Linked DNA regions of Astyanax mexicanus. The protein of the gene in region 3 interacts with the protein of the main gene of each other region in a pairwise test. Links are inferred from orthologs where the notes say so. Each region holds a gene or a part of one and is shown on either strand. Other genes may lie near its edges. The genes, in order: ATR-interacting protein, cluap1, cyclin-dependent kinase 2-interacting protein and fas-binding factor 1 homolog.

The links.
Region 1: the proteins of cyclin-dependent kinase 2-interacting protein (region 3) and ATR-interacting protein interact in binary tests that used the Homo sapiens proteins (3 or more experiments, as listed by UniProt). The link is inferred for Astyanax mexicanus from reciprocal best matches to the Homo sapiens genes CINP and ATRIP.
Region 2: the proteins of cyclin-dependent kinase 2-interacting protein (region 3) and cluap1 interact in binary tests that used the Homo sapiens proteins (3 or more experiments, as listed by UniProt). The two-hybrid records come from large-scale screens. The link is inferred for Astyanax mexicanus from reciprocal best matches to the Homo sapiens genes CINP and CLUAP1.
Region 4: the proteins of cyclin-dependent kinase 2-interacting protein (region 3) and fas-binding factor 1 homolog interact in binary tests that used the Homo sapiens proteins (3 or more experiments, as listed by UniProt). The two-hybrid records come from large-scale screens. The link is inferred for Astyanax mexicanus from reciprocal best matches to the Homo sapiens genes CINP and FBF1.

The regions. Positions count from the first base shown.
Region 1 is NC_064431.1:12,683,780-12,691,075, forward strand, and holds the start of ATR-interacting protein, read left to right. Parts: upstream 1-3,996; 5' UTR 3,997-4,284; intron 4,285-5,211; exon of another isoform or gene 5,212-5,502; intron 5,503-5,866; 5' UTR 5,867-5,880; coding exon 5,881-6,196; intron 6,197-7,200; coding exon 7,201-7,280; intron 7,281-7,296. Other genes in the region: si:dkey-42i9.4 (protein BTG1), read right to left, coding at 1-165, 1,711-1,828. UniProt on the Homo sapiens protein: Required for checkpoint signaling after DNA damage. Required for ATR expression, possibly by stabilizing the protein.
Region 2 is NC_064413.1:14,771,821-14,780,010, forward strand, and holds the start of cluap1 (clusterin-associated protein 1 homolog), read right to left. Parts: upstream 3,127-8,190; 5' UTR 3,046-3,126; intron 2,988-3,045; exon of another isoform or gene 2,839-2,987; intron 1,541-2,838; 5' UTR 1,479-1,540; coding exon 1,457-1,478; intron 144-1,456; coding exon 32-143; intron 1-31. Other genes in the region: wdr90 (WD repeat-containing protein 90), read left to right, coding at 4,549-4,561, 5,533-5,624, 5,957-6,133, 6,640-6,778, 7,105-7,275, 7,372-7,498, 7,810-7,877, 8,010-8,122. UniProt on the Homo sapiens protein: Required for cilia biogenesis. Appears to function within the multiple intraflagellar transport complex B (IFT-B). Key regulator of hedgehog signaling.
Region 3 is NC_064421.1:48,598,885-48,606,628, forward strand, and holds the start of cyclin-dependent kinase 2-interacting protein, read right to left. Parts: upstream 3,396-7,744; 5' UTR 3,269-3,395; coding exon 3,262-3,268; intron 2,113-3,261; coding exon 1,941-2,112; intron 1,431-1,940; coding exon 1,298-1,430; intron 1,053-1,297; coding exon 923-1,052; intron 1-922. Other genes in the region: adprs (ADP-ribosylhydrolase ARH3), read right to left, coding at 4,468-4,838, 5,867-5,967, 6,217-6,404, 7,330-7,537, 7,630-7,726. UniProt on the Homo sapiens protein: Component of the DNA replication complex, which interacts with two kinases, CDK2 and CDC7, thereby providing a functional and physical link between CDK2 and CDC7 during firing of the origins of replication.
Region 4 is NC_064410.1:17,740,825-17,748,608, forward strand, and holds the start of fas-binding factor 1 homolog, read left to right. Parts: upstream 1-4,529; 5' UTR 4,530-5,006; coding exon 5,007-5,009; intron 5,010-5,342; coding exon 5,343-5,376; intron 5,377-5,465; coding exon 5,466-5,510; intron 5,511-7,004; coding exon 7,005-7,062; intron 7,063-7,183; coding exon 7,184-7,247; intron 7,248-7,328; coding exon 7,329-7,379; intron 7,380-7,770; coding exon 7,771-7,784. UniProt on the Homo sapiens protein: Keratin-binding protein required for epithelial cell polarization. Involved in apical junction complex (AJC) assembly via its interaction with PARD3. Required for ciliogenesis.

The DNA.
Region 1 (7,296 bases), on a different chromosome or scaffold from region 3:
ACATGGTCAGCTCACTCGGTAACAGAGAGAACAGCTGCTCTCTGGTCAGTCCGATAGTGAGGGCGGCTTTACCAATCAAAGGGTCCATCTTGTGATTGATCCTGATGCACCTGTAGCCTGAACCTCGGCACGGAGCATCTGGAAACCAGTGGTGCTGATAATGCTCTGAAATTAAGAAAGATTGTATAGTTAATTTCTGTTCACCATTCTTTTTGTACATTGTTGCAATATTGCAACACTGTCAGATCGTAGGATTGTGGTAGTGGAGTTCAGGACTGTAAATTGCTAAGAAGTTTCCAATAAAATAAAGTGTATATACACACTTTTATTCATAAAAAACATTTATGTTTTGCTCTTTTATGAGTAACATTACACATAGAATAGAATTAAATTTAATTTAAAAGAAAAAGCTTATTGTCCACAATGTGAAAAAAAAAACATTTACACGAAAATCTTCAATAGAAACAAACAAGAATTTGGACAAATGTTTTCATTTTTAGATAATACTGAAATCAATATGGTTAACATAAGATCAAAACTTATGAAAATATATATTAGAGCTTCTGGCAGAATTGGAGTTGCATTTGGTAGGGCTAACTAGTTAAGCTATGAACAGTACCCATTTAAATTTCTAATGCACAAAGCTTCTGTTATTCTTAATTTTTTTAATACAATCAAATTTGAGTTTCCTTGTGTTCTCCTAAGAACAGCATCCTTTCTGAGTAAACAGCTAAATTCAATTTAAAAGATTAAATAAACCTCAATTTTAAAAACTTTTTAGCCTTATTTCAAAGTGTATTTAAAACAAAGCTCAGACAACCTATAAGGCAAAGGAAATATTTTTCTTAATAAATATGCACATTAATGGGTTTAAATGTAGCCATTTTCTTCTGTTCATTACACTTATTTTGAGAGAGGTGTATTTTTTTATTAATCAAATGTTCAATAATAGTAGTCATGTGTACCTTCTTTTCATTTTATGTTACTTTTTGATGCCAGTCTTTATCTTCACATGAAATCTAAAGCAAAACTCAGTCCTTTTCCGTCAATTTATTTTTTATTTTACACAATGAGATTTGACATTACTTGTGTTTTATTGATACTCAGTGATTTTTTAAAAGACTGGATGTAATTTAGCTTTATTTCAAAACATATTTTAAAACAAGCTCAGACAACACACAGACCAGAGGAAATGATATGCTTAAAATATATATACGTCTATGTAAGGGGTCTGTAGTTCTTTTGTTGTTTTCATTACGCTTATTTCGAGACAGGTGCATTAATTATTTGGAATTTTGTTTACAAAATGACTAATCAAATGTACAATCATTACTAACCTTGTCATATTATGATGCAAGTAATTGTCTTTACATGATGCCTAAAGTAAAGCATTGTTTTGTTTCATTGTTTAGTACTAAAACTCGGGATATTCATTTATAGACAAGTGTATGTTTTTCATTATCTTACGTTATGATGTTCTTTTTACCAAACAGGCTGGATTTAATTTGATATCTTATGTAAAATTCACTTTTCAGACACTTTTTTTGGAGTTAATGTGTTTTATTTGAGCCCAAGTAAGAAAGCTTAGAGACGGTATAGACCAGTAGATATTGACAAATGAAACATATTCATTTATAGACAAAAAGAACTGCTTAGGGAGACTATAAAGATTATTAGCAGTGTTTTAACTGTAAATACTGTGTGTTTTACCTCCTAAAGCTTCCTCTAGAGACAGGCTGAAGTGGTGCAGCTGCTCCTCTGAGAGAAGCCCAGTCCCTCTCAGCAGTGTGCTAATGAAGTTCACAGCCGTGGAAACCTCGGTTTTCATGGTGAAATATTATTTCTCAAACTGTAAAACGATAAGAACAGGGGTTAGGTGTGAATAAGAGAGTTATTAGAGCAGGTATCAGGGCTAAGAGAGGGAAAGCTGGGTTCAGGGATCAGGCCTGCAGTACTGCTGTTGCTGCTGCTGGCAGATTTTCCTTTGTTCAAAACACGAAGAGAAAACGGCGCTAAAACAGCACTTACAGATTCCCGCTCATCCAGCTGCGCTGTAGAGAAGCTCCTGCTTTTCCCGGTGTAACCCTTTGACCGCTAAAACCACGGAAAAGTGCAAATTATCGACTTTTTATCGATCTAAAACTTCTCCCCGTCCCTCCACAGACCAACTGCCACACTGCTGGAGCTGCTCAGCTGGTAAACACCGCGAGCGCTACAGCAGCGCCTCCACCAATCAGCTGCCGCCGAAGCCAACCGCGTCACAAACACGGTGTATTTACACACAGCTCTCTCATTCATTGACTATTACCTGCATAATAATAATAATAATAATAATAATAATAATAATAATAATAATAATAATAATAATAATAATAATAATAATAATAATAATAATGAACAACGCAGGACAAACCAAAATGTATTATGTATTTCTTAACACGTTATATAAGCTCATTTCTTTTTAAAAAAGTGATTTATTCTCAGTTATGTGTAATTTCTGTATGAGGTGTTTCATTAAATCACTAAATGATGACATTGTTGTGATTGTTCCCCATTATTTTCCCTAGTATTATCAAGGCCAAACACTGATAATTTATAAATAAAACAAATGGCCAAAATCAAAACTGCTGTAAAAAAAAAAAATAGACTGTAAAAATATGTATATGTGCACATCTGTCTCATCTGTCTATTTAGGTAAATGGGCATCCATTAACATTAAAACATTAAAAATTAAAGACCAGTGACAGCTTTGAACAGTTTGTTTTTAACAGTTTTGTTAATTTTGCTTAACTATATTGCCCCTGATGAAGCCCCTAATATGTTGTATTGTGTATCATCTCATAAAAATAGTGAATATATAGAGAATTTTTTACTGAATTGTATTAATTGTCCCCTCAACTAAACAAAACGAACTAGTTTTTTTTAGAGCCATTAAAACCCATTGCATTAAGCTCTTTATGTGCTACTCTTCTCTAGCTAATCTGAAGACCACATGGAGTTTGGCGGTCTATAGTGGCTGATTCTGCAGAAAATCTGCTGGCCCTGTTCTGTTATTTTATGTTGACAGAGTGAGCTGCTGTTTCCAGTCGCTTCCACTTTATTATAACACTGACAGTTGACTGTGGAATATTTAGTCGTGAGGAAATTTTATGACTGCGCTTGTTGCAGAGGTGACATCATATGGATGCCTAAAATGCCTATGGATGCTTGGTGTATACACCTGCGGCCATGGAAATGATTGAAACATGAGTTCATTGATTTGCATGGGTGAGTGAATTGACAACAAGGTTGTGGGTTTGATACCTGTGTTTTGCAGGCCACTACTGTTGGGCCCTTGAGGAAAGTCCTTAACCCTCATTGTTTCCAAGGTGCCGCAGCAATGACTGCCCACGTGTGTTGTCACAAAACTACTATGCATGTTTCTGAGTTTCTCTGTGGTCAGTGTACCATTTCTAAGTTAAAATGTTCGGGCTAAATCAGAAAACAGATAATTGGGTGTAAAACTTCATTATTTCTTTAAGTGTAGAAGAAATGGGTTTTGTCCATTTCCCAATTTTCTTTAATTTGTTTCTTCTTCTTGTGCACCTGCAGAATCAGATGTATGTATCTGTAATCAGGTAAAATGTATATTTTCTTTATTTTCTTGCAACAAAAGTAATTTGAGTTATATCATTACATTTGATACAAGATGTAAAAATGGAAAAATCTTAAAATTGAGAAAATATCAAATTCTCCTAAAAAATTTGTAAAATTGTTTCCGAAACACAAAAAATGCTTGAAAATTAAATAATAGATACATATTTTTCTTTACTATTTTAAATAGAAAAAAATAAAAAATATATTTGAGATTTACACACACATTTCGAGTATTTAACTTCAAATGGTCAGAAAATTAAACTGATAATAAATGTTATACTGACCCTCCGTGCACTGACCAATTAGATTAGCCGATTTTCCTGCATCATTGCTGGAGACTGCGGAATTGACCAATCAACAGCGTCCATGCTTGACTGCGCTCGAAACAAGCGGCGCCTTCTCCCTCAGAGATATTCATCCGCTGAAGTTCAGCTAGTTTTTCTGAACCTGCTGCTTTAGAGAGCTTTCAGCCGTTGTCCAGTATGGCCGGTCCGAACCCGGCTTTCTGTTATAAACTACATCTGCAGATGTGAACCCAGACTCGCGCAGTAAAATGCTGGTTTTACTAGAGCTGGAGTTAGCCGCTGCTGTACTCTCACTGTTAGCTACAGGCTAACCCGCTCCGAATTAACCTGCGCCTCTGTCTCAGTAAGTAACTAATACACATTACACTGAACTTATCTAACAGCTTTATTATACAGTATTTTATCTCCTCTTACTCCTGTTAAACTTGGCGACTCTCCGCGCTGCTTTCTGTCTGTGAGCTTAGCTAGGTCAGTTAGCGTTAGCTAGCATAGCATGTGTTATGAGTCCCACAAAAAGACAATAGTATCAATTTATTCTCCTTTCCTTAACTGGAGATATTAGAGATATTAGAGAGAGGTTAACATATTTAATAAGGTTTGGTAGTTAACCATTATAAAATCACCTTTGACCCTTTTTTATCTGAAATTTGTTGAAACTTCTCAGTCCACCTTAAAAAGTGCAGCAGTTTTATTTAGGCACATGTATTTTTTTAAGGTGGAATGGACAGTTGGACTGTGAATAGGACTGAATATAGCTTAACCAATGCAAGTAAATGTTTGATGGGCTTATGCATTTACTTTTACAGTTTTTATGTGCCATTATTGTAAATAAGAACTATACGTTTTTAATGACACGCCAGGTGAAATTAAAGGTTTAATAAAAAAAAAACAAAAAAACAAGAAATCACTTACATATTTGTTTAAACTAACATCTAGGCAGTTGAAACAAATTAAATAACTAATTAAATAACTAGTAATGTCAAAATACTTCAAATACTTTGAACACAGTGAAGTCTTATTCATATTTTGCATACTGTGATGCAGTTAAGCAGGACAAATTTACTGTAGTACTGACAATATCTACATTAAATAAAAAAAAGTGTATTGTGATGTAATGCCTCACAATAACAATATACACTGCTCAAAAATAAAGGAAACACTAAGATAACACATCCTAGATCTCAATTAATGAAATATTTCAGTTGAAAATCTTTTCATCATATGGATCTCATCCCTGTACCTAATGGCAGTCTGGGTACCTCTGGCTAGCTGTGCGGCCTTCCAAAAAAATTCCTCCCCACGCCATTACTGACCCACTGCCAAACCAGTCATGCTGGAGGATGATGCAGCAGCAGAACATTCTCCATGGCATCTCAAGAGCCAATAACAAATCTGTTAATCTTGGCGTTTTCTGGCAAATGCCAGTCACCCCGCATATTCTGGTATCTGCTCCATGCTCTGGACACTGTGCTGACAGACACAGCAAACCTTCTTTTAACAGCTCGCGTTGTTGTGCCATCCTACATGAGCTGCACTACCTGAGCAAACTACTTCCTCTAGGGTGAGCGCACTAACAAAAATGCAAAAATGACCAAAACATCACCCAGAAAGCATGAGAACAGAGAAAAGGTGTGTAGTTGCCACCTTCAGAACCACTACTTTATAGAGGTTGTCTTACTAATTGCTTCTTATTTCTACCTGTTGTCTGTTATATTTGCACAACAGCAAGTGAATTTGATTGTTTTCTCAATGGTTGATTTTAAGTTAGACTGTTCTGTTTTACTGTTTCCTTTATTTTTGGAGCAGCGTCTATATTGCCACATATTAGCTGTTTGCTTGATATTTGCAAAATCTTTTTGGATATTTGACAGACCTCTATTGCTTTAAAATGTACTACATTCAACATGTTCTTTCAATTTCCACAGAAGCTTCCAATGACATGGAGTATCCTCCAAGCAAACGCCTCAGAGGCCCACAGAACACAGCTCCAGTGGAGCAGGACCCCTTTGGGGATGATGAGGACTTTACACAGGATAACCTGGAAGAGATTGATATTATAGCATCGCAGGCTATTACAGGAGATGGTCACCTTACAAGTACGAAAAGGACATTTGCATCCATTTCATCACATCCAGCAGAGCAGAGCAAAGCCCCCGTAAAGCAGGGCAGAAAGACTTTTGCCATCGGGAGCAGCAGCAGCTCAAGCACCAGCAGCATGTATAACAATATGGAGCGCCAGCGCCATGATTCATTCGGTTAGTATAAAAAACACAGAAATCCAGTATGCACATACTGTATTCACCATATCTCCAAATGTTAGACACCTGGTTACCCAGTGTTTCTACTGAAATCAAGAGAAATAAAAGGTAGATTGTCCCCCTTTGCTGCATCAACAGACTCTGCTTTGCTAGGAAAGAAGTACATTTCTGTGAGAAATGTATTGCATTTACCATCACAAGAATATCAGTAAACCATATCTATTACTTTGGAAAATGCTGGATCACAGCCCAGGGGTGTGTGCATGTGTGTGTGGAAGGGTTTTACAGTGTTAGGAAAAAGTTTGGTAAGCATTTTAAAGATTTTGGACTGACATCACTGTGGGCAAGCCCACAAAGCACCTGAGCACACTTTTTTAAAATTAATTACTTATTCATTTCTTAATTTTTTTATGTGTATGTGTAGAAATAATACAACTTTATAAAAACACTTATGCGACTGTAGAACCTATATCATTACTTATTGTGAACAATTTAAATAGATAAATAAAATAAAATGAAATAAAACATATAACAGAAGGCTTTTTATTTTTATTTCCACTTTTATTTGATTGGCAAATATTTCACATAATGTAACAAATGTAGTATTTTCTCAGCAATGAACAGAAGTTTAAACATCCACATTTAACAGGATGACCATCTATTTGCTGACTGTTTGCAGCAGCTGTAATTGGCTAGGCAGTGTTAGGGGAGTTGAAAATGAGAATGTGATTGGCTCAGTTTTTCAGTATTCAGCATCCTATTAAACGGGATCAGCTGTTTAATTTACAAAATTACTGCTCATTTTCTAAGATAACAAATGTGCAAAATTAATGTCAGCCGAAATTATGATGATGTAATTGTCATAATAGGCCATACGTTTTTTTTTCGTTTGTTTGTTTTTGTTTTTTGTGCATGGATGCCCTGATCACTATGGTCACAGTATTATAAATACTGTTGTAATAACATACTCCAGAATACTCAGCGTTTTCTTTGTTTTGAAGGAAATGGTCAGTTGTCTAAAGACAGAGATGAGCTGGATTACAGCAGACTGGAGGCTCAACAAGCAGAGTTAAAGAGAAAGGTATTTGAACATTAAT
Region 2 (8,190 bases), on a different chromosome or scaffold from region 3:
ATACACACAACCAAAGAGATTAATGTGCAACCTCTTAACAAGCCAGATGAGTATCTCTGCCACTAAGGGAAAATTGGGAGCCCTGAAGTTCTCCATGGAGATGAGTCTAGGGTATCCCAAGGCACGCATCATTTCTGTAAAACCTGCAGCAACAAACAATAACACACAAACTAGCAAACAAGTGCTCACAACAATGCATACATAAAGCTTTATTAGTTCATCAGATCCAAGAAATCATCAATAGAATGCACATGACTTTCTTTAGGTTTACCAAAAAACTGGGTTTAACGATAAGAAAATACACTCACACAGACTACACATTTGCACATGCTCAGATGCCAATATTTTAGATAGATAGATACAATTTTAGGAAAAGGCTTTGAATTTAACTATTTGGTAATTGCTGTAAACACCTAAAAACTATCCCCCCTTGATCTGGGTATCTGGTGCTCTCTCTCCTATTATGTTTGCTTGGCAGGATAAATATTTCGAGAATTAATATTTTTTCTTGTCTTTTTCTTGCTACCAAACATGCGATTATATTATTGGTCAACTCAGGTTTAACACATTATAAGCAAGTGTACCAATAGGACTGACTCATTACAGGTTAAAATGAAGTCCATAACATTCACTCCCTCTTTTACCATTTATTCATAATGTGAAAAGTTGAAAAGGGTCTATGATTCTTTTGGTATATCCAACACTCTGCTGATTTGGAAATACCTAACCGTTTCTTTTGGTCTTCCCCATTTGCACTTAATCCAAAATGTCCCTCTCAGTTGCATGAGACAGGATTCCTTAACTGGTTTAGTCAAGGAATCACACAGATTTCTGTTCTGTTTTCTGGGGTCTTGTTGCATTTTTGGAATATTCTAAAGAGGTATAGTTTTTCCAGATATCTTTAAATTAGACATTTCCTTACATCTCTACTATATAATGGGGGTTGTGAATGAATCTGACAGGGAATACATTATGTTGTCAAACGAATCTCTGTCTTCTTTGCTAAACTTGAAGGGTATTTGACAGAAAGATTTGGAAATGGAATCGGAGCAAAACTTATGGGATTCTGCTTGTGTAAACCTTTATCCCCAGTGTACTTCAATTTATTTGCATGAACTTAATTTTAAGCCTGTGCAACCTAAAATGAAGTTCATGCACAGAATCTACTTATTACCAGTATGACTACACAGGATAGATACAGAGAGATCAGATCTATGTTTCACTTGCCAGACACAGAGGGGCACATTTGTTCACTATTTTTGGACCTGTAGCAAAGATTTAAATATTTTGGGGGGAGAAGGTCACTCAGCAATTGAGGACATTTTGACACAAGGTTTGCTATGTGCCACTCATTTTGCATTGTGCCTGTTGAATGCCATTTTTAATTTTCATTTTAAACAGGTTTTTACTTTGTTGGTTTTTATAGCAATAATTTGATATATTTGATCATGCTTACTTCTTAGATCTCTGAAAGACATGGTTGCCTTTTCTCCTTTTCCAAATATCTCTCTACCAATAATTGAAGGCTTTCCTCAGTCCCCTATGGAAAAAGACAACAACAAATTTAGTAACAATTTGAGCCACTAAGAAAGTATATCCAGTCTTGGAATAAAATGAAGTGTAAAAAGGGCAGTTTCCCAAACAGGATTTATACCTAATCTAGGACTACATAAAATTTTGATTTTGTAGATTTTACATCAAAAGGAATATATAGTCTACAACTAATCCATCCTAATCCTAGTACATCTGAAATACCAGCTCACATAGAAAATGATTTTGCACTTAAAAATGTTTCTTACAGCCAACTTATATACATTAGAGCAAATTACACAGAATAACCACTACTTTGTTGTTCTAAAAGAAAATACATTAGCTATATTTTTTTAGTATATTCCAAAACGTAAATAAATAAAAACAAAATACTTAATTATCTAAATAGTACACCTGTAATGGTACACCTTTTTATTTCTGAGATTTAGGTTTCATACACAATAAACTATATACATTTCCTTTAAGAAATAAATCCCTTTCTAACATCTCAATTTCATATTTTTTGAATTGGAACTCTGGGTCAATGTAAACGTCCGAAATCTATATATGTGCCAATGCCCATATACATATTTATAACTTACAGAGAGACTAGACTACACACCCTGACTACACACTACACATTTTGATTTTACTTTTTTTTTCTTTTTTTTTTTTTACATGTATTTGTCTAACTGGTCCACAGACTGTTCACAGCTTTAAACCCTCTTTTTAAATAAGCAGTTTAAATAGAACAATAGATCAATTGAAACTTGAAAATGACTAAATAATAATAATAATAATAATCATCATCATCAAAAAATGCTTAAATCAACTAACGTTATATAATTTTAAAGTAACTTAGTCGGCCCGTTGTGGTCTTTTTCCAGCATACGATAAATATATTAATAAATATAATTAAGCACAATTTTAATATGGTGACAGGCCTAGGGGGAACATTTATGATATTAAATAACCTAGGTTACTGTTCTCATTATTCATAAAGGATATTTAGTGTGGCACTGTGAAGAGGCAGCAAGCTTAGGCGTGTTAACTACTAGTGTCCCCAAGCTATCCAGCCTAGATGTAACGTTAATAGCTAGATGTGGGCTACAGCTATAAAACAGCGATAACCTTACTGAAACTTGGTCTGTTATTTGCTAACTAGCTAACCCTTACTCTCTAGTAACTTAACCCAACTCTCACAGTCATTGTCTTTAGTGTATATATTTCTTAATACTCAGAGTCTAAACTGAATTAAAACGTTAGCTTAGCTAGCTAGGTTCGATTAGGTAAGGTTAGGTTGGTTACCTGTTAGCTTCACTAACGGTTATCAGATTACCTGGGCCACAGTTTGCTCGTAAGTGCAGATATTAGCAGCATTAGACTTCTGCTCGTATTTACTCATTGTATCAAAACACAGCCAACATAGGATATATATTTAGCTCTTTTTTTAGTAGTTAATCCTGTAAGTAATGTTTAAAAAGCAAATTTATATCTGATAATAAACACACATACCCAGCGTCTGCGGCCCAGGCCGTCTCTATGGCAGCGACAGTGAGCTACGGCAAGCGCAAGAGGACAAACTGACTGGAAATCATTTACCGCAAAGCAGAAATTCTCATTTTAGTAGAACGGATTACGGAGATTTCATGGGATGCAATGGTAAAAACACGATTTAACAATGAAAAATATAATCTGTCAATATATATATATATATATATATATATATATATATATATATATATATATATATATATATATATATATACATTTGTTTTTTTAAGTTACTCACACTTTAACTACCAAATCAAGGGAAGTTTCTGCCTGTGAGGAAAGGGAACTTTTTGATATTTTTAAGCTATTAATCAAATGTTTCACTAACTATAGACTACTTAAATGTTAAAATGCCCATGCTTCGTAATATTGTTTTATTTTTATTTTATTTAAATATATTTTATGTTTTCTTAAAATTATATAGTAAACTAATTTGATCATCAAAATTCAGCAGGAAGAAGCTTTTGCATTCAAAAATGTTTGCACACTTTTATTTATTCATTCAATATTATGTGTATGTACACATTTATACGCAGGTGTATGTGGGTGTGTTTATGGGTTTGGACTGTATGTGCTAGAAAGGGGAGTGGGAATAAAGAGGGTTTATTATTTTGTTTCTGTTGTTTTTGATGTCTCTATTTTGTAACATAATACAGAAAGATGATAACAACAATAACCACAACCGCAAAAAAGAAGTATGCACCCAAACTGTGTTTTGGTTACATTTTTTGGCAATATATATTGACGCATATACTGTGTTTGTTTTTATCAAAGATGTGGAATGCTATTTGATGCCCTTTTCTGGTTGTAAACAGTAATCTGTTAAAATATGGAACCTGTGCTCTATTTTTGGAATTTGTATGTAATTTTTACTTTTTATTGTTTGTATTTTGCTATGCCTTCTTCCCTCCAATCCAATGTTTCTGTAATTATGTCGCAGTAATATAGTCACAAATAGCTGTACATTTGTACTAGTGTTGTACTAAAAATAGATAATAAAAATAAAATAAAAAAGCTCTTGAAAATAAAACAGTGTGAAGGTTAAACATGTCACTGAAACTATAATGTAAATGGTGAGTGTACATCAGTGTATTAACTACATTACCCAGTATGCCTTGCGGGTACGCTGCGTAGTGCCGTTTGAAAGCGGCGGCTGCTGCAGCGGGAGGAGACCTGAGTCTGACAACAAAACATGAGCAGCCGGAGCGCAGAGAGAGAGAGAGCACTTTAACCACTTTAACAACACAAACAAACTTCTGCGAAGGATATGAAGCTTCCTGAGACATGAAGGATTTTAGTTTAAAATGTGACGCTGGCCTGGAACGGAGCACATCAACAAACAAATAGATATATTTATTTATATATGCTAACTGTGAAAGTTAGAGCTAACTCAGCGCTAGCGTCTGTGCTTTTAGCCTGCTGATATCAACCCATTTACAATCTGCTAATCTCGGTCTGTTTACAATGTCCTCAAAAGGTAAGACTTACACACACTGTTAGTTAGCTAGCACTTATTCTAAATAACTAATCTAGGTTGGGTATGCTGCACTGTCAATACAAGTTAGCTACTGTCAGCAGAACCCTCATCATTTAACTTGCAGTGAACATAATGATAACTGCCTAGATAACCCAGCCAGGTAAGTTAACTAACTAGTTTATAGTAGGATGGTAACTAGCTAGCTACTGAAACAAATATAAAAAAAATTGTATAAATATTTACGTGCATAATGTGTATGTGAAATCAGATATTTACATTATGTCAACATTTCCTGATGAATAGATCAATGGAAATGCTTAAAATTACTTGAAATCAAATCTTTATACTTTATACAAGTGAGACCTGCAGTTCTGTAGATATTGTTCTGGGTTCTTTTGTGGCCTCCTGGATGAGTTGTCCATGGCCTTTTGAAGTAATTGTGTAGGTCAGACACTACTGAGAAGGTTTAGCACTGTTCCATGTTTTCTCCATTTGTGAATAACAGCTCTCCCTGTGATCCACTGAAGTCTCAAAGCCCTAGAAATGACATGGTAATCTTTTTCAACTGATAGATGTCAAAGTTTTTTTCTCAACTGTTACACAATGATAACTGGCTAGATAGTTAGGTTAACTAGTTTACAGTAGGATGGTAACTATGGCTAGTTAATGAAACACCTGCTGGATGGAATTAAATAACATTGTGTAATGATTTATGTTCGTAATGTGTATGCAAAATGTGTTCTTTACATTATGTCAACATTTCCTGTTAGGTACCTGGTTTATATACAGACCAGAGTCTCACTGTACTTTTTGAATAATCTTTTTGTTTAATTTCTATATAAAATACAATTAATTGAAGTACACTGTATATACTGTTATTCCTGATTACGTAATCTTGAACAAGTGAATATTGATATCCTCTGAATCTCTTTTTTTCTTATCCTCTGTGTTTACATTGTTTTTCCTTCTAGCATGGCAACATCCTTATGTTAATGTCTTTAAGCACCTAAAATTGGAGGAATGGAGGAAGGCCAGCAAAGAAGGCGATGTTACAACCTACATGGTAAAATTCTACTGTCATATCAAGTGTTTATGTCTTTCAGTGAAGTAACATCCTATAACTGAAGGCAGTGGATATCAGTCTAACGCAAGAAATTGAAATCTAACATCAGACAGACGTTGAATTTTAGTTGAAAATTACAATGAAGCTGTTGTACAGACGTTAAATTAGGATGCAAATTAAATTTGGTACCTCAACGTCATGACTTCCATTCAATAAGAATACATCATACATTCGTCTGTCATTATTGGTGGTCAGCTGGGGTAACACATTGATATTGTTGATTATTGATTAATTTAATTTTTGTTTTTTGTTTTTTTGTTGGTGTTGTAAAGGACAAGACTCTGAAGTGTTCGGTGTTCCGTATTCGCGGTTCCATTCCAGCCAGCAACTATATTCTCCTGCCCAGAACCAGCAGCCAATCACTGGGGCTCACAGGCCGTTACCTCTACCTGCTGTTCAGACCCAGCCCCAGTAAACACTTTGTAGTGCACGTGGACATTGCTTCTGAGGTGAGAGTAATGTAAAAAGGAGTAGTCAGAGAGCATTATAATATTCTAGTGCTGGGTGATTTTCATGATTATTTTATCGTTTTCATCTAAAATATCCGAAAACGCTACTCATTTCTGAAGTGTTTATCCATCTTATCTTGGTTATTGGCGCCTCCAACAGACTAACCCGCGCATATTTTCTAAACATTCCGCCAAGGACTGAGCTCCTACCGTAAATCGTTCCAGCACTGTTTCAGCACTTTTGACACAAACACCCGGTGGAATAAAGCCTATATTTAGCTAGAATTAAATCCTACCACTTCTAAAAACTTCAGGGTCTTAAACCATTTTCTTTAGTTTGATTTTTAGTAGGGGGAAATTATAATTGGAAAAAAAAAAAAAAACGTTTTTTTTTTTTTTTTTAGACCATAATCGCCCAGATCTATAATATTCCGTGACTAATGTGAGTTTAGGTAGATGAATAAACAGTGAATTAACTGTTTAACTTCTTTTTTACTCTGGTTCAGGAAGGTCAGGTGATCCGTGTATCGTTCTCCAACCTGTTCAAGGAATTTAAGTCTACGGCAACATGGCTGCAGTTTCCCTTCCTGTGTGGAGCTGCTTCGGGCTCTGTCTATGAAACCACAGCCAAATCTGCTAAACATGGTAAACACTACCTTTCGGAAGAAATTTGTTCTTTTCTTACTTTGTTTATTATTATTTTTAAATGTGCTAAAATTAATTCATAAACACACGTAATAAAATCACTTGCAGTAGCAAAGAAAATAATTGGAGACATGATTGATATATGTTTTTTATTAAGTTAATAAATTAAAGGATCTTACTTTATAAATTTTTTCTCTTCAATAATTTAATTACATTTAATCGTGACCAAGTTACACTGATAGAACGTCTGGGCCCATATATAAGTTTTTGTATATTTAACAGTGCTTTAACAGTCCACACTGCTGTGGTGTTGATGTGTGCTTCAGGTTTGGTGGGTCCAGCACCGGCGTCTGTGCGCTGGACATGTCTGATGATGGACCTGCGGTATGTGCTTTCTGTCTATCTAAACAAAACACACAGTCACCTGAAGAGCATCAAACTCTGTTCCAATATGACGGTGAAAAACCTCAAGACTAGTGACCTGCTGCTGGACCCAGGTACTCTTAATTAAAATACTTTTCTTATAAAGTAGTTTTAAACACAATTTAACATTGTAACTCTTGCTCTTGCTCTCTTACGATCTTTCTTTGTAGGCCTGTCGTTCTCAGAGTTCCGACAGGCTGGTGTGATGTTGCCAGAAGGCACAGCCCCCATGCCCAGAGAGATGTGTTTCCCTGTGCCTAAGGGCAGCAGTTGGCATCAGCTCTACGACTACATCAGGTAAACTATACATATAATTCTTTAATACAACACTCTTTAATTCAATTAATTTAAATAAAAAATGATGCTACAGAAGATCCATGTTTAGAGCCATAAAAAGCTGCATCTAGCCATGGTAGTGTTTTTCTAAGGTACAAGCTGTACAGGGCTAAGATAGTCAACTAATTAACTAACTTAGCATTCAGTTTTTCTGTCTTTCTGTGGTCTCGATGTGACTTTAATGCCATGTGAATGTTCTTCACATTCCTTAATATGACTGTGCTATTAAATACATGGAAATAATCCTGCACAATCCTGCATATTTTTCAAAGGTTTCCCACAGATGGTGTGAAGATGCCATTTGATTCTATACAGAAAGGCCTTACCAACCAAACTCCAAGTGAGTGTTACAAATGTACAGTTGCGCTGCACTAGACTTAAATAATGCAGATACATGATACAAAAAAGGCTTGTTAAATATCTGTAATTTGTCTCTTTCTCTTTTTCTTCATCCCTTTTTTTCTCTGTGTAGAAGAGACTGTGCTCATTGAGAGTCCTATTCGAGAAGAAAGTCGCAGTGTGAACTTGAGCAAACCTGTGCAGGACCGCGTCTCCCTCATCCAGCAGATTACCACACCCAAACCTGTCAGTGAGAGAGTGAATAGACTGCTGTTTAAAAGAATTGCTGTAGTGTTGCTTTTTGCAGAATCCCT
Region 3 (7,744 bases):
ATTTATTTACAGAAAATGAGAAATGACTGAAATAACAAAAAAGATGCAGAGCTTTCAGACCTCAAATAATGCAAAGAAAACAAGTTCATATTCATAAAGTTTGAAGAGTTCAGAAATAATCAATATTTGGTGGAATAATCCTGGTTTTTAATCAGTTTTAATGTTTTTATGCATCTTGGCATCATGTTCTCCTCCACCAGTCTTACACACTGCTTTTGGATAACTTTATGCTGCTTTACTCCTGGTGCAAAAATTCAATTTGGTAAAATCAAGGAAACATCATATTTAAGTGATGATATATTTTAATAACCCTGCCTCCTATTGGATAATAATTACTGCATGGCCGATTTATCTTAAAGTCTTATAACTCCCAACTGGTGCAATGAGCTGCTTCTCTTTTCTTAAACAACCATATGGAAATATACTGCGATCCTGTGTTCGTGGAAAAGATGTCAAACTGTTTGAGAAGGGTCAAATATTATTGGCATCATGCATCAATAATGCAGAGAAAACATCTAAAGAGATTTTAGCAGAAACTAGTAAAATTGGGGTAATAACTGTCCAATGCTTTATTGTTAAAAACTGGATGCTTAAAAAAGACCCATCATCTACGAGGAAGAAATGTGGCCCGGAAAAAAAAGTCCTGAATGATAGTGATCAGCAATCACCAACAGTAGAACTCAGGGCTATGTTGTGTAATAGTGAAGGTAAGAGCTTTTCCATGCACACAATGCAGTGAAGGGAACTGAAGGGATAAAAGCTGTGTAGCTTTAAGAAAACCACTAATCAGTGAGGATAACCAGTAAAAAGGCTTTAATTTGCTAGAGATCCTAAAGATTGGACTCTGGAGCAATTAAAGAAGGTCAAGTGATGGCCTATTGAGTCCAGATTAACCCTATTTCAGTGTTGGTATTATTCTTACCAAACTGTTGGGTAGACCAGGTTTGGAACAGTGGCGCTGGTCTTCCTTGCACTCCAAACTGAAACATCTCCAAATTATACACTCCTCTCTCATTAGAGACAATCTTCTCCATCTTCAGCAGAATGTGGGCCTTTGGAGATAGGAATACACAACTATATGTTACAGAGCATTCATAAAACATCATAATTACTTCTGCATTGCACAAACAGTGGTATGAAAACGTTTGGGAATCCCCTGATAATTTTCTTTAATGATTTTCCTTTATACATCATTGGTTGTTGGGATCAGTAATTTCAGTTAAATATATCATATAGCAGACGAACACAGTGATATTTGAAAAGTTAAATAAAGTTAATAGGATTTACAGAATCTTACCATTTTATCTACAATGTTCTGTAGATTGACGCATTCCTCCTCCAGCTCCGGGTTGCTCTGGTGCGCTCTCCTCTCTGAAGGAGCTTCTGATGAACCTTCATCTACCAACACTATATCTGGTTCCTTCACAGACCTGTACCCAAAACAACAGATAACATGAAGAGCAGAAAATCTGAACAGAGACACATCAGAAAAATACATACTTTATATATACAGCTCTGTAGAAGAATAAGAGAGCACCTAAAAATGATGAGTTTCTTTGATTTTACCAAATTAAAAACCTCTGGAATATAATCAAGAGGAAGATGGATGATCACAAACCATCAAACCACCAAACTGAACTGCTTGAATTTTTGCACCAGGAGTAAAGCAGCATAAAGTTATCCAAAAGCAGTGTGTAAGACTGGTGGAGGAGAACATGATGCAGAGATGCATGACAAAAAACTGTGATTAAAAACTCTAAATGAGAATATTTTTATTTGTAATTTGGGAGAAATGTTGTCTGTAGTTTATAGAATAAAACAACAATGTTCATTTTACTCAAACATAAACCTATAAATAGCAAAATCAGAAACTGATTCAGAAACTGAAGTGCTCTTGCTGTAAATATTATATACATTTATGTTCAAAAACAGAACCCAACGTTTCACTTATTCTGTAGTTGACAATTTTGTTTGCGATGGCCGATCCCTCATCAGTCAGGCGCTCCCACTTCAGGATCAGGTTGTGCCAGTCTGCAGCGTTGTCCTTCAGTTTTCTTGCGCTTCCAGTTAAATTGCCTTTTCTTCCAGGGGGCGTGGCCTCAGAGTGTTTTTCTGATTAAACACGTTTTTTTACATAGAAGAAAAAACAGCTGTATTTAGGGATGATGCTGCAAACAAGCTTACAAAACACAGTATAAGGCAAAATATGTTAACTATCAGGTCATATGAAAAAAAAGGCTTTAAAACCCACAGGAATACTATGTTTTATTTATGAAAAAATAATACATTTTTTCTTTATTTTCTTACTAAAGATTATTATTGGATTAAAGGAACTTTGATGTAATATTCAGTTTCTTTACAGGCATTAATGTACAGATAAGCATGCTTTATTACTCTCTGGCCATGACTTATTTATCTAATTCCCACGAATTATTAAGTTGTGGCCACACATCTTGTTCCCACGCATTATGTTTTTATTCCCATGCCTTAGTAATTAATTATCTCTATTATCTTGTTCTCATGCCTTAATAAGTTGTGGCCACAACTTAATTATTTGAATCACATGCCTTTATAAGCTGTGGCTACACATTAGTTTCTCATTCCCGAGAGTTAATACGTTATGGCCACACATTAGGATCACATTCCCATGCCTTAGTAATTAATTATCTCTTAATTATCTCATTCATACGCAAAAAAACATTATAATCTCGTTCCCATGCCTTATTAAGTCATGGCCACGCATAAGAATCTCATTCTCATGCCTTAATAAGTTGTGGCCACGCATTAGGGTCTAATTTCCACACCTTAATCTGTTTTTTAAGCTTGTGTTCACACTTATGTATAATAACAGTAATTCAGCCTTTGTGGAAAATCTAGAACATTGAATTAACATATCTAGATATACTTTCCCAAAATTTGCTGAAATACTGAATAATTACATCTGAAAAAAAAAAAATAAAAAAACAGCATCTTAAAAATAACATTTCAGTAGAGGTGGGTTACCCAGGTCCAGAAAGTAAAAATCCACCCCAGGGTTTTGTAGCTGAGCTGCAGCAGAGCCGCCCAGGCAGTGAGTACTAAACCCCGGGGTGGATTTTTACTTTCTCGACCTGGGTTACTCACCTCTACATTTCAGTGAGTAAAAACAGTGTTTATATAGCAGGAGTTTATTACAACTCCTGCTATTATTCAACACTGAAACAACAACAGACATTACACTAACCACATTTCAGTGTTAAAGGTAGTTAAAGGTTTTCTTACCGTTCATTTTTGCTCGGTTGTTTCATTAATAAAGAGAAAATTATATTTTTAATCCTGTTTAAACTGTTTTCACTGCATGCCGGACCTGTTTCTTCCTCTCTATCCTCCTCATTACACACTAAACTCATTACTGCCCCCTACAGCACAGACCCGCTTTACACCGTGTTATTATTACCAGTTAATATAAATAATATAAAAAACACCCATATTAATGTACTATTATAATATAAAATATACTGTATATCTGTATTAGTCCCTAAAATTTCTCTCTCAAGCCACCTCCAGACAGCCTGTAACTGTTTTAGTTGAGTTTTTTCTTTTACCCTTTTCATTTCTTTTGTTTTTTTATTTATCAAATTTTATATTTTACCTTTTAGCCTTTTTATTCATATCATCCCTTTATTTTGTTTTATTACTGGTTTTACTTTTGCCCTTTTACATTTTTATTTAATTTCTCTCGTCCTTTTTTTTATTTTATTATATATATATATATTAATATTAATATTAATTTCAACTATCTACAAATGTGGAGGTAAAAAAAATCCGTAACACTAAATTTGACCACTTTTTTCCAAAGAATCATGATTTTTGGTTGAAATTCTGGTGATACTGTTATTACCAGACTTAATAGTTAAATGCTAAAGACAATATTTTGTGTATGATTTTCACTACTTCAAAAAAGGTCTGCTCTCAGGCTTTTGGAAATCTTGAAGAATAGAATAGAATATATTTATTTGTTTATTTGCAGTGCAGTGATTTGTGTTTTTTTAGTTCAATATATATTGAACAGTTCAACAGTCTTAATCTGTGTGAAGTGAAAGAATACACAAAAAAAGAAAAAAACAAACCATGTCTATTGCAAAGGAAGTCATGGAGATTACTAATAGAAAAATACACATGGCCGATGTTCACATTAGAAGTGAAGCTGAAGTGACTCAGATTTTCTGCTCCGATCAGATTTTTTCATGGCTGTGTGAACGTGTTAAATCAGATTGTAATGTGAACGTAGCCATGATGTTCATTTGCAGTAGTTTCTACATTATTGAAAGAAGGACAGTATTACTGAGCAGTTTGCCAGTTTACCACTGGAAGTGCTTTTATTCTTTTATTGTAAACCTTTTTAAACAACAGAGACATAATCATAATCCACGATGATTGAGCTTTATGAGAGAGGGAGACCCTCTGTGCCGGATCTCTGACGGGGGGTCAGTTGGTGTGTGTGGGGTGCTGGTTGCTGGCGTGTGATTGGGGCTGGTTGCTGTCGCTCATGGTAACTGCGTCTCCTGAGGACTGGGACTGGTACAGTTTATAAAAACGCTTCGCCAGGTGATCGGCCTCCTCCACCCCCTCGCAGCTCATCTGCCAGCTCCGGGGAACCGCCTCGATGCCGTAGTGTGCCCCGGCAATGGCGCCCGCCATGCAGGCGATGGTGTCGGTGTCTCCTCCCAGGGCCAAGCTGTAGGCTATTGTCCTCTCCAGGCCACCGTAGCGCTCGGGCAGGCCCTCCCGAGGCTCCAGACAGTGCAGAACGCAGAAGATAGCTGTGGGGACTGACTGCAGTGCTGCAATGCCATTTCCTGCACACAGAGAGCTTATTAGCACAAGACAAAGACTGAAAAGAGATAAAAATAAAAAAAAGTCACACAGTATAAATCATATGCACTTATTTGCACTTATTACACAATTTGTATTTGTATTTGTATTTGATCCCCTACCAACCATTAAGAGTTCAGGCTCCTACAGACCAGTTAGACGCTCCAAATTAACTCACTACATGCATTAAAGACAGCATTTCTCAGGGGGTTCTGGGATGATTTTCTCTTTTTGGGGGTTTTTTATCCTCTGTGATTTTATTCCCGTCCAGAACGACCATGTATGTGCTTCACAGACGTCCTTTGAGAAAATTACAGGCTGAGTGACCTACTGTACCTGAATACTACCTACAGGGCATCCTTCATCATGAGGAAGGTAACAGATCAGCCTAAAACTGCAAAGGAGGGAACTTGTTAATGATCTCAAGGTAGCTGGGACCACAGTTGCCTATAAAACCATTGGGGACATATTACGCTGAATGTAGGTGTGCTGGGTGGGTTAGTGCTGGTGATAAAACTATCTACTTGTACAAATAAAAGAAAGTGTATTTTAGCTTCTTATTTTTTCTACAGCTCTGTTCTAACATTTTACCTTTTAAATGGTTTAATTAAAAGTTGTACATTCTATACCTAACTACTTCAGACCTGATTTTAAGAATGCAATGTAAAATCCAAGCAGTAAAACTGCTGTTCTGTCATTTATGTTGCGTCATGATTTTAATCTTAAATATTTAAAGCCATGCTCAGTGAATTTATCTGATTTAATTTTAAATAATGGTATCAATAAGAACACAGAATTTCATGAAAATAACATCTCTCCAACTGTCTGTACTATAGAACCTTGTGTATATGAGTATAGAAGTGTTTAGAAGTGTAATATAACTATTTTTTTATTTTTGTTTATTTTATTTTATTACTATACATTTGAACAGGATATCATGGTGGCCTCAGTCAGCACACAAACAACGAAATAAGAACAAAGAAATAACATCGTGAGCAAACAAGATACTAACCAAGTTCGGATATGACCTCTTCAACGCTCACGCTGCTCCTCTCTATCAGCTCCTTCACTCGGTGTAATCGTGCGCAGTACGGAAACTCTGCTAAATTCAGCCTGTAAAATAATATATATATATAAATATTGCAGAACTTTCAAGGCTCGAAAAACAGAACGTTAAAATTCAAGCATTTTTTAGGATTTCAAACACCCGTACAAACCCTGGTTATTAGTCTTATCAGAAATCTTATGTAATTAACTATTTCTATATACTTCTCAGTATTATAAATGTTTTCTATTTACTGCTGTAATCACCTTCTCCACACAACACAAATAAAACAGTTCTATGAAGAGTTAATAACTCACGCTTTAGCGTCACGCTGGGCCGAATCCTCTTTTTCCACGACCTCCATCTCAGAGATGAGTCTGTTGATGAATTCCTGTGGCAGGGACAGGACGCCCTGCAGAGACAGGTGGACAGCGAGACCCTGCAGCACGGCGCCGTTGTAGCCCAAAGAGCAGGAGTGTGTGAGCATCGCACCGAGCCTGGAGTACTGCCATACACACAAAACATTAGCTTCACAATTATAATTCAGCTACAATTAAATAACTATCATTATGACGTTTTATATATTTTTCAATTCTGCTCAATTCCGCATCCAGGACCGAATTCGGGCTCCGTTAATATGCTGTCAGTACAAACACTCACTCCACAAAGCTGCGCTTTACTACAGTCAGGGTTCATACAGTTTTTAACTGAAAAATATCTATGATTTTACATGTCTTTTCCATGCCTTTCAGGCAAATTTTCATGACCATACAATTTCTAAAACATCCGTGCAGACATGGACAATAAACCAGAAATTAACTAAAACTATAATTAAAATAGATTACAGTAGGCCTAAAGTTAATTTAATTTAAAAGCAATGTTAATACACAATTTTCAATAATAAAATGTGTGTCGAATCCTGAGAGCTCCATCATGCAGGGCTTAATTACTTAACTAATTCTGAGCTGATGTATTTGTTAGCTCAAAATAGCTTCTCTCCGTTGATAGATAAAAAAAAACAGCAACACAAAGATTTGTAGTTAAAAAACTGGGTATTTTTATTTTTCCAAAACTTATTCAGGCCTGGAAATATACTGAAAAGGAGATAATATGATAAGTCGAAGCATTCATAAATAAAGTTAAACAAAGGAACCAATCACACAACCCCACACATAGCAACAGGAGCGGATAGCTTTCAAACCTGTTCTTAAAATTATTCTTTTAATTCAGTGTTTCATTCATTTCGCCAAGAGTATCGAAATCGTATAGCGAAAATACCATAAAATATTGTGATATTATTTTAGGACCATATCGCCCACCCCTAGTGCTTTGTAATAGGCCTTAAGTCATATATTTATCACTCAGCTGCTCTAATATTAGCCATTGTGTATAATATGTGTACAATATAATTAAATAATATTAGGCCTCACTTTCCGCACTTCAGCTGCGCTTCTGAAGGCGAGGGCGAAAGGTGCCACTCTCATTGCTCCACCATTCCCAAATGATCCACGTCCTCCGAACTGAGCCCGAGCCGGCTGAAACACGTCGCTGAGCTGAGGAGACGCGAGCTTCCGCAACACCTGAATGACCCCTGACCCATAGCCCCGGCCCGGGGCGAGACTGTACTCCTTCGCAAAACTGGAAATACAGAATTAAGAGTAACAGAATGAAAATAAAAACACAACTAAACATAAGCACAGTCCTGAAACTGACGCCATATCTGAACATACCTGCGAGCCATGTCCTGCTCATCAAACCCCACCCGGGTCAGCAGTGAATCAGCCACACAGCGCATCATAGCCGTATCATCACTGTACTGTAGTATACCTGAAAAAAGAGAAAATT
Region 4 (7,784 bases), on a different chromosome or scaffold from region 3:
ATAGCAGATTAGGATAAATTTTAGAATAATTTCAATTGGATTCATTAATTAATAATAGGTAATAGTTCTTGTCATGTTTTTTAATTTGATTTGAAAAATCTTTATATTTTTTGTTCCTTGAAACATTTTGGAGATGCAGCTTTGAATCTGTAGATGCAGACTATAAATCAAAAGCTATTATAATTCATTACATAACATCCAATAATATTACAACCCACAATAATATTTCTTTGATTCCCCAGCCATGCAAAGGCTTCATTGTCAGATTAGCCTTTTTTGCTTTTTGGAAGCCAAGATGCTAATGAGATTTAAGAACATGTGAGAAAGGACAGGTGATTCTGTTGAATAAATGATTTTGTGATTGATTTTTTTGAATGTTGACTTTTTTGAATGAGTGTACAATATTCACAAGGAACTTGATTTACTATTAAATTAATAGAAATATACATTTAATTAAACTTAGATTTATGTTAGTATTAGACAACATTATTTAACAATATGTTAACTTTTTTGAGATATTGTATTTTTTGCACTATAAGGCGCACTTAAAATTCTTTAATATTCCCAAAAATCGTCAGTGCTCATTTTAATTTTGTGCGTTTTACTTTTAAAGAAAGTCTTTTTATCACGGTTTTGTTACTAGGTTAGCTTTACTTAGCTTAGTTAAGTTAGCTACCCCTCACCACCACCCAGCAGCATGGTGAGTGAGACGTAAGGTTTGTTAGTCACACATGAGGTTGTGATCAGTCACAGGCATTAAGTTAAAGGCCTGAAGGATGTGAGGGTCAGCAGTGCTTAAACCAGCTGCTACAGCCTGCAGCCGTTCACTGCAGGATCCCTACATTGTGATAGTAAAGAAAACTCCCATAGCTACATTTCTGAACTTCTTTTACAAATTTCAGCTAATCAGGTCGATATTTCTCTAGGTTTTCTGGGTGATGGGTCATAATGTGCCAAGGCTTTAAGGGGCTGGCACAATTTTAAACTAAAGTGCTATAGGGTACTCCTGCATCCCTGCTTCTTCAGTACCATGTGAAACAGTTTTCCCTTTTATTGGCAAAGTATCTCACTAGTATCAGTAACACTGGGCTAAACTGGGTCAATGCTAAGGATAACCCTGGATATAAAATACAGGACAATAAAGTGACATGTTAAAAAAAATCATACAAAATTAAAGAAGAAAAGGCAAAAGAACTTTAACATAACAGCTCTAAAAAAAAAGCTCTAAAGCTGTGCTCTAAAGTGTCTCAAACTGGGATAAGCAAACTAAACTGCATCTAAGAAACAGAGCACCACACTTCCCTGCACTTAACCACTAAACAAATATGTGTAAACATAAAACTAAAAGCTAAACTATGCTAAGATAACCAATATACAGTACATAGCATGGAAGCGGCTAATTAAAAACCATATGTTTTTCCCAAAAATAGGGATTGATTGAGTCCATGTACTGTGGAAAAATATTGTTTCTAAATGAAAATAAAGTCAATCTTTAGAAAAGCTGCAACAGTTTTAACATAACCATCTTAATCATATTGGATTTATTTTAACATTAAAATCAAATAAACATAACATAACATAAATAGATCTCTACTGGTATTTTAATCTCAGTGTCTTCATGAGGTAGAGTCACCTGGAATAGTTCCTGGTGGTGCTGAACAATATTTGCTGCTTTTCCTTTACGCTGTGAAGCTCCAGCTCATCCCAAATCTCATCTGATCAGGTTTAGATCAGGAGATCGTAGAGGACAAACAATTTTAATGTTACGTAATTCCATATGTGTCCCTAATTGTTTTCATTTAGAATTAATCTACAATGTATAAACAAATTAAATAAAAAAAAAAAAACCTTTGAATTAGAAGGTTTGTACAAAAATTTACCTGGACCTGGAACACAGTCACAAACATACAAAAAAAATAAAGTTTTGCGCATAACAACATTAAATCATTGTCAAACCAGTACACAGTACACAGTTTTGAAAAGGTTTTATAATAAAGTAGTATAGTTATCTAAATTTTTAACTGGAACACTGTCAATTATGATGTAACTTATTTCCCAGCTCTGATATCAGACTTTCGAGTTAAATGGAAAACAGTATGAGCGTTCTCATATCTGCTCATATCTCGCCACTCTCACAACCTGGCATGAAAAGCATTTATAGCTGGAGGGAGGTCCTTTAACCCCTGTGACCCCTGGAGACGTGCAACTGCCACGCATTCCAAGATTCCATCAGGCCTGTCTGTGCAGTTCTAATGCAGATGGCTAGGCTGCTTTGTGTTCGTTTGAGACTGTCCTTAGCCCTTTAAGACATGATGGTTACTGTAAGAATCTTTAGAGTTTTTAAATCATGTCTGGGTGAACATTTTTTGGATTATTTGATGATAATTTTGAGCACATAAACCAACCTCCATAGCAGCGTTCACCAGTATAGTCTATGTTTTCTTCTGAATAAGCAGCTTTTACAACACCATGACCATCAAGACCAGTTTGTACCAATAAAACCAGCTACCAACTGGTTTTGAGCTGGACTGTCAGCAGGTAAACTGGGTACACAGATTTCTAGAAGAATAACAAGTTTTGCCTTTTCTGTTGAGGGCTGAATAAGAATAACTGTGCTGCCGTCGCCCCCTGGTGGTCCCAGCAAACAGTGCCAAATATAAATCAGTAATTTAACAGATTTCAAATTAATGCTAAACATTTAACATTAACTTCAATTAATTGTCTTTCCAATCTGACGTTAATTCCTCATCACTTTTGCACACTCAATTCATATTACATTTACATCATTTATCTGACGCTCTTAACCAGAGACTTACAAGGTTATTCCTATTACAGAGGTGAGCCAATGTAGTGTTACGAGTCTTGCCCAAGGACTCTTACTGGTTGGTGTATTAGGAACTACTGGTGTACCAGGAATTAAACCACAGTCTCCCACATTATGTGATAGCTCATAAGCAGATGGTGGTGTTATGCACTGCAACCACATATTTCAAAACATGTTGATTGTAGTCCTGTAATCCATAATTTTGTTTATATATTTTTCAATTAAAAAAAATGAAATAATATTGACATTTTTAGAAAAATAAATCAACATAAAACAAACTATGTTAGAAATTTTAAACATAAAAAATGTATTACTGCATAAGAAAATTGTAAATCACTCCTGCTTTATGTACAACAGGAATTATTTTATGAAAAACAGAATAACAGAATAGCTAAACAATAAAGAAAATAGAATTTTAAAATGTGACCATTTTACTTTTGGTACTCATTTCATGAAATAAAGTAGGTAACTATAAATGCAAATAAATATATCTGTGTAATTAAATAAACAAATAAATGTTTTTTTAATAAACCCTTATTTATTTTACCATTCACACTTTGACATAAAAGTCTGATAAAATTAGATAATTAAATACATCATAGCATGACTTAATGTTACATCAATGACTTAATCTTACTAGCTACATGTTTAAATACTGAAGACAGGCAAGTGTAACATTTGTCAGTTCAGTTTTCTGACCACTTGAGGCTAAATTTGAAAATAGAAAATTGTGTTTTTGTTTGTTTTTCCAGTTTTTACTGTTTCCATTACTGCCTAAAAATTAAAAAATTGAAGTGAAATTTTCGCATTTATCCTCAAAACGTCAGAAAGCTAAACTGATAAACAATAATAATAATTTACGAATTGATTATAACCCCTGTTGTAGCGGGAAATGACTGTGAACCGCTAGAGGGAGCCCACAAGTTAGCCCTCAATGAGTACTGCAGCTCTGAACATAATTATTGACCACAGAATTTAATAGAGGCGATATTTTAAAAAGCTCATTCACATTCAAGCCATAGAAAAAATTCAGCTTAGACACGAAACCCCAAATATGGGCATACAAGGACTAGAGAATGACATGACTGCAGTGGTGTATGGAGGTGAATGGAGATAATTATTTGAAACTCAAACTAAAAATAGTATACTATCTACTTGCCCAGGGTATATATTCCTTAAAAAACGTACCCGTATGTTTACTTCTTTTTTACAGTATGTTTTAGGCAGTAAAGGAACTGTATTACTGCTACTGTGAGCTGATGGAATTACAGCGAGAGTGCGTTTTAAAGCTTTATAGCTGGCATTTGAAAGCTGTATTTGAATGTCTGATGTTGTTTAGTGATGAGAAAACGAGTAAACTCTTCAGTATAACAATGATTCAAACTGTACAAACTCAAAAGGGCCTATTAGTTGGGTATTCTCAGAGAGAGAGAGAGAGAGAGAGAGAGGAGAATAATCCTCAGATCTATTTAACTGTTACAGTGATGGAGACATAATTTTTAAAGATTTTAAACTTTAGTTATAGGGCTTTTAAATATGCTCTGACTGTATCTCCAGCATCAACTCACCAACCAATCAGTGCCTAAAAATATAGGGGTATGGTTTATTTGCTTCTTTTAGCGAAATAGATTATTCTAATATCTAAAACTAAAGGAATATATTTGACAGGTGATTAAACTGACTCCGAACTACATTACCCACAATTCAACACAGGAAACACATAGCACGTAGCACAAAACACAGGGTTTAAAAGTGTAGTAGAGGACAGCAGTCTGTAATCGGCTGCAGGACCGGCGATTTTGGGATAAAATTAAGCAAGTTCGTAGCTGCTTCCTTTAGCATGACCAGTAACGACTAGGTTCAGTTAACTTGAAACTACCTAACCTAGCCTAGCCTAGCTTAGCCTAGCTGACTAACTGACGCTAGGTAGCGTTAGCTAATGAACTAATGAGCTAACCAGGTGTATTATAGTGGAAGAATAGAGGCGGACAGGGGAGCAGAAGCCTGATATCTTCAGTCATTTTGATTTATGGAGAGAAGAGGTGGCGATAAAGCGGGATAAATAATTATAGAAGAGCGGAAATGTGGGTTTAGCCGGACATGCTGTTGCCAATGGCGACATGGACGCTCAGGCTGCTCTGATTTACTCTCTGCGGGCTGAGCTGAACACTGCAGGGAGGAGATGGTAAGAGTCTCACAGCCTCTGTTTACTGCACAGATTCACTGCATATCCTCCACCGACAGACAGCTAGCAGTGTAACCTGGCCCTCCTGAGCTACCTGAGATCATGATATAGATAGATTATGATTATGGATAGGTCAGGATATAGATAGACTCATATAGAGACAGATATAGGGATACAGTAGCCTGGAAGGACTAAGTTACTGATCTTTGATTAAGAAATAACAATAAATGTCAACATTTTATTATACAAAAATATGTATATAATAGTAAGTATTAGTATGAAGGATAAAGCATCATATTAACTATAAACTTCTCTTTCTTTTAACCACTGCAGAGTTTAAAGCAGCAGAAGAAGAAGGGGCTGAGGGGTAAGTGCTTCAACTGTAGGACCACATACACAACCTGTTACAGCCATCATACTGTGTTCATACTGAGTCCAGACTTCACCTTGCTTTAGGGTCAGTTGATGACGTGTTGGGGGATCTCTTGGGAGACAGTGATGGTAAGATTCCTGTGTGTTATTTGTATAACTTTTGCATAAAATGTAAAAAGAACTTCTGTTTATCCCTGTGATTCCAAATGTAGAAGGGGGAAAATATATTTAGATTTTTTAAAATATAAATCAAGTGTTGTGGTGGTAACAAACATATTGGAAAGACTATTTTGTTTTTAACTAATTTTACTTACATTTTACAATATGTGCACTTCAGTGCACAACAGGACTTCGGTAATCACAAATGTGAACATTGACAAAATTCAAGAGCAGATTATGAAAACTGAAAGCTCGACAGAATTCGTTGTAATGCCCTCAAACAATTCTGCTGATGATTTGGGTTTAATATTAAGAGAAGAATATGAGATAAAAGATCAACATTTTAGCTTTTATTTCCAGGTATTTACATCTGGGTCTGATACACAGTTGACAGAAACATTGTGCATGCTGTAAAGAAAGGGACAAAAACAACTGTTTGTGACAGGAGGGCAGGAGGGAAGCTATAACAGTCTTCATGAACAAAAGTACAGAGGCTTTACCAGATATGAAAACCACTAATTAACAATAAGAATAGGAAAGCCAGGCTGGAATTTGCCAAGAAGTACAGAGAGAAGTCTATGGACTGATTATAGACTGATGACACAAACATTATCCTTTACAAAGGTGATGGAAAGGCTAAATTTTGGAGTAAAAAACTTATTAGTGAAACACAGGGGTGAATATCTCATGGCTTGGGCTTGCATGGCTTCTTCTGGGATTGGGGGGATTAATCTTCATTTGATGTAAAGGGTACTCAGAAGTCTACTTTTTTTTTTTTTGTCAAATTAAAGAAAGATTTAACTAAACGAATTGGGAGATCCTTCATCACGCAGCAAGATAATGACCCAAAACACACTGCCTGCAAGAGCATCACAAAAGAAGAATGCAAATGTTTAGGTAATGTCATTGGGTCACCGTTTTGATGCAGTTATTAGAAAAGTTAGAAGAGTGGCACAAAATTTAATTCCCGGGTCTCAGGTGGATAAGCTAAAATAATAAGAAATAGTACAACAAAACTCCAGAAATACTCAACGCAAAAGTTTGTCCTAAAAGCTGAGAGGTCAGCCTCCTTTAATCACATAGGATATCAATAACATTGTCCAACCTTTCAGCAACTGACAGCTGCATACCTTCTTCCTATCATAATTTGTCAGATTGTCTCAGATTCTTTCTCTTCTCCATTTTCTTGCTTCAACACATCGACAGTCACTGCCTAATATATACCACCATTTTTACAGGTTTGCTACTGAAAGCAGGAAAATGTGTTTTTTTATGTTGTGTTATGTTTCATGTTGTCAGTGTAAATAAATGTTAGTACATTGCAATGTCAGATTCCCTGTGTCAGTGCATCCTTGTAGTGTACATTTGTGCTTAATTTTGTGAAAAACTAAAACCCTTTTCATTTTAATCTGCACTGAACTTCAGTAAAAAAATGTATCTGAAAAAGTGCTTTTTGCCCTCTAGATCCTCCCAAGAAGACCAGATCTCCCGCTGGAGTCCTACCATCACGCAGCAGCAAGAGGTGAAAATATATATTTCTAATTTTAATAAAATAAAGTTATACATACCTTCAAATACACATACTTTCGAAATTATCTATATACTTAAACTGATCTGTCAGGTCTATTATCTGCTGAAAACAGGTCTCTGCTGGATGATGATGATTTCTTCAGTAAATTGGCGGAGGAGGCGGAGAAAGATGATGAGGTGAGAGAGTGGTATTATTTTTTTAAGTGGCTTAAGGAAGGTAATTAAGAGAGATAAATAGTGACTTGTGTTGTTTTGCAGGGTTCTGATGTGTCTGAGGCAGATCCAAAGGCTTTGTTGGAGAGTATGAAGGTGGTCGTCTGTTTACTTTTTAAAGTTATACTTCAGAATTAAATGTGCCTTAAATGTGCTAGCTCTGAAATGATTAACCATAGAATATAATGATATTTTAGTAATTTCCAATTACTTTTAGCAATTTTTCCATGTATTATTATTATTATTATTATCATTATTATTATTATTATTATTTGCATTATCAGTTTAATTGTACATAATTATTTTAACTGCTTAAAGTGTCTGCTTTATCATTGGGAATGCTAGCCTTCACCCATACCCAACATAGCACGGATGACACGTCTGACATGTCTTGACGAGGGGATGGGAAATGGAAATGTCTAAAATACGGAGAAAAGAAGTATTTATAATTGTGTGTGTGTGTGTGTGTGTGTTTTTTTCCCTACAGGACATTGATGATAT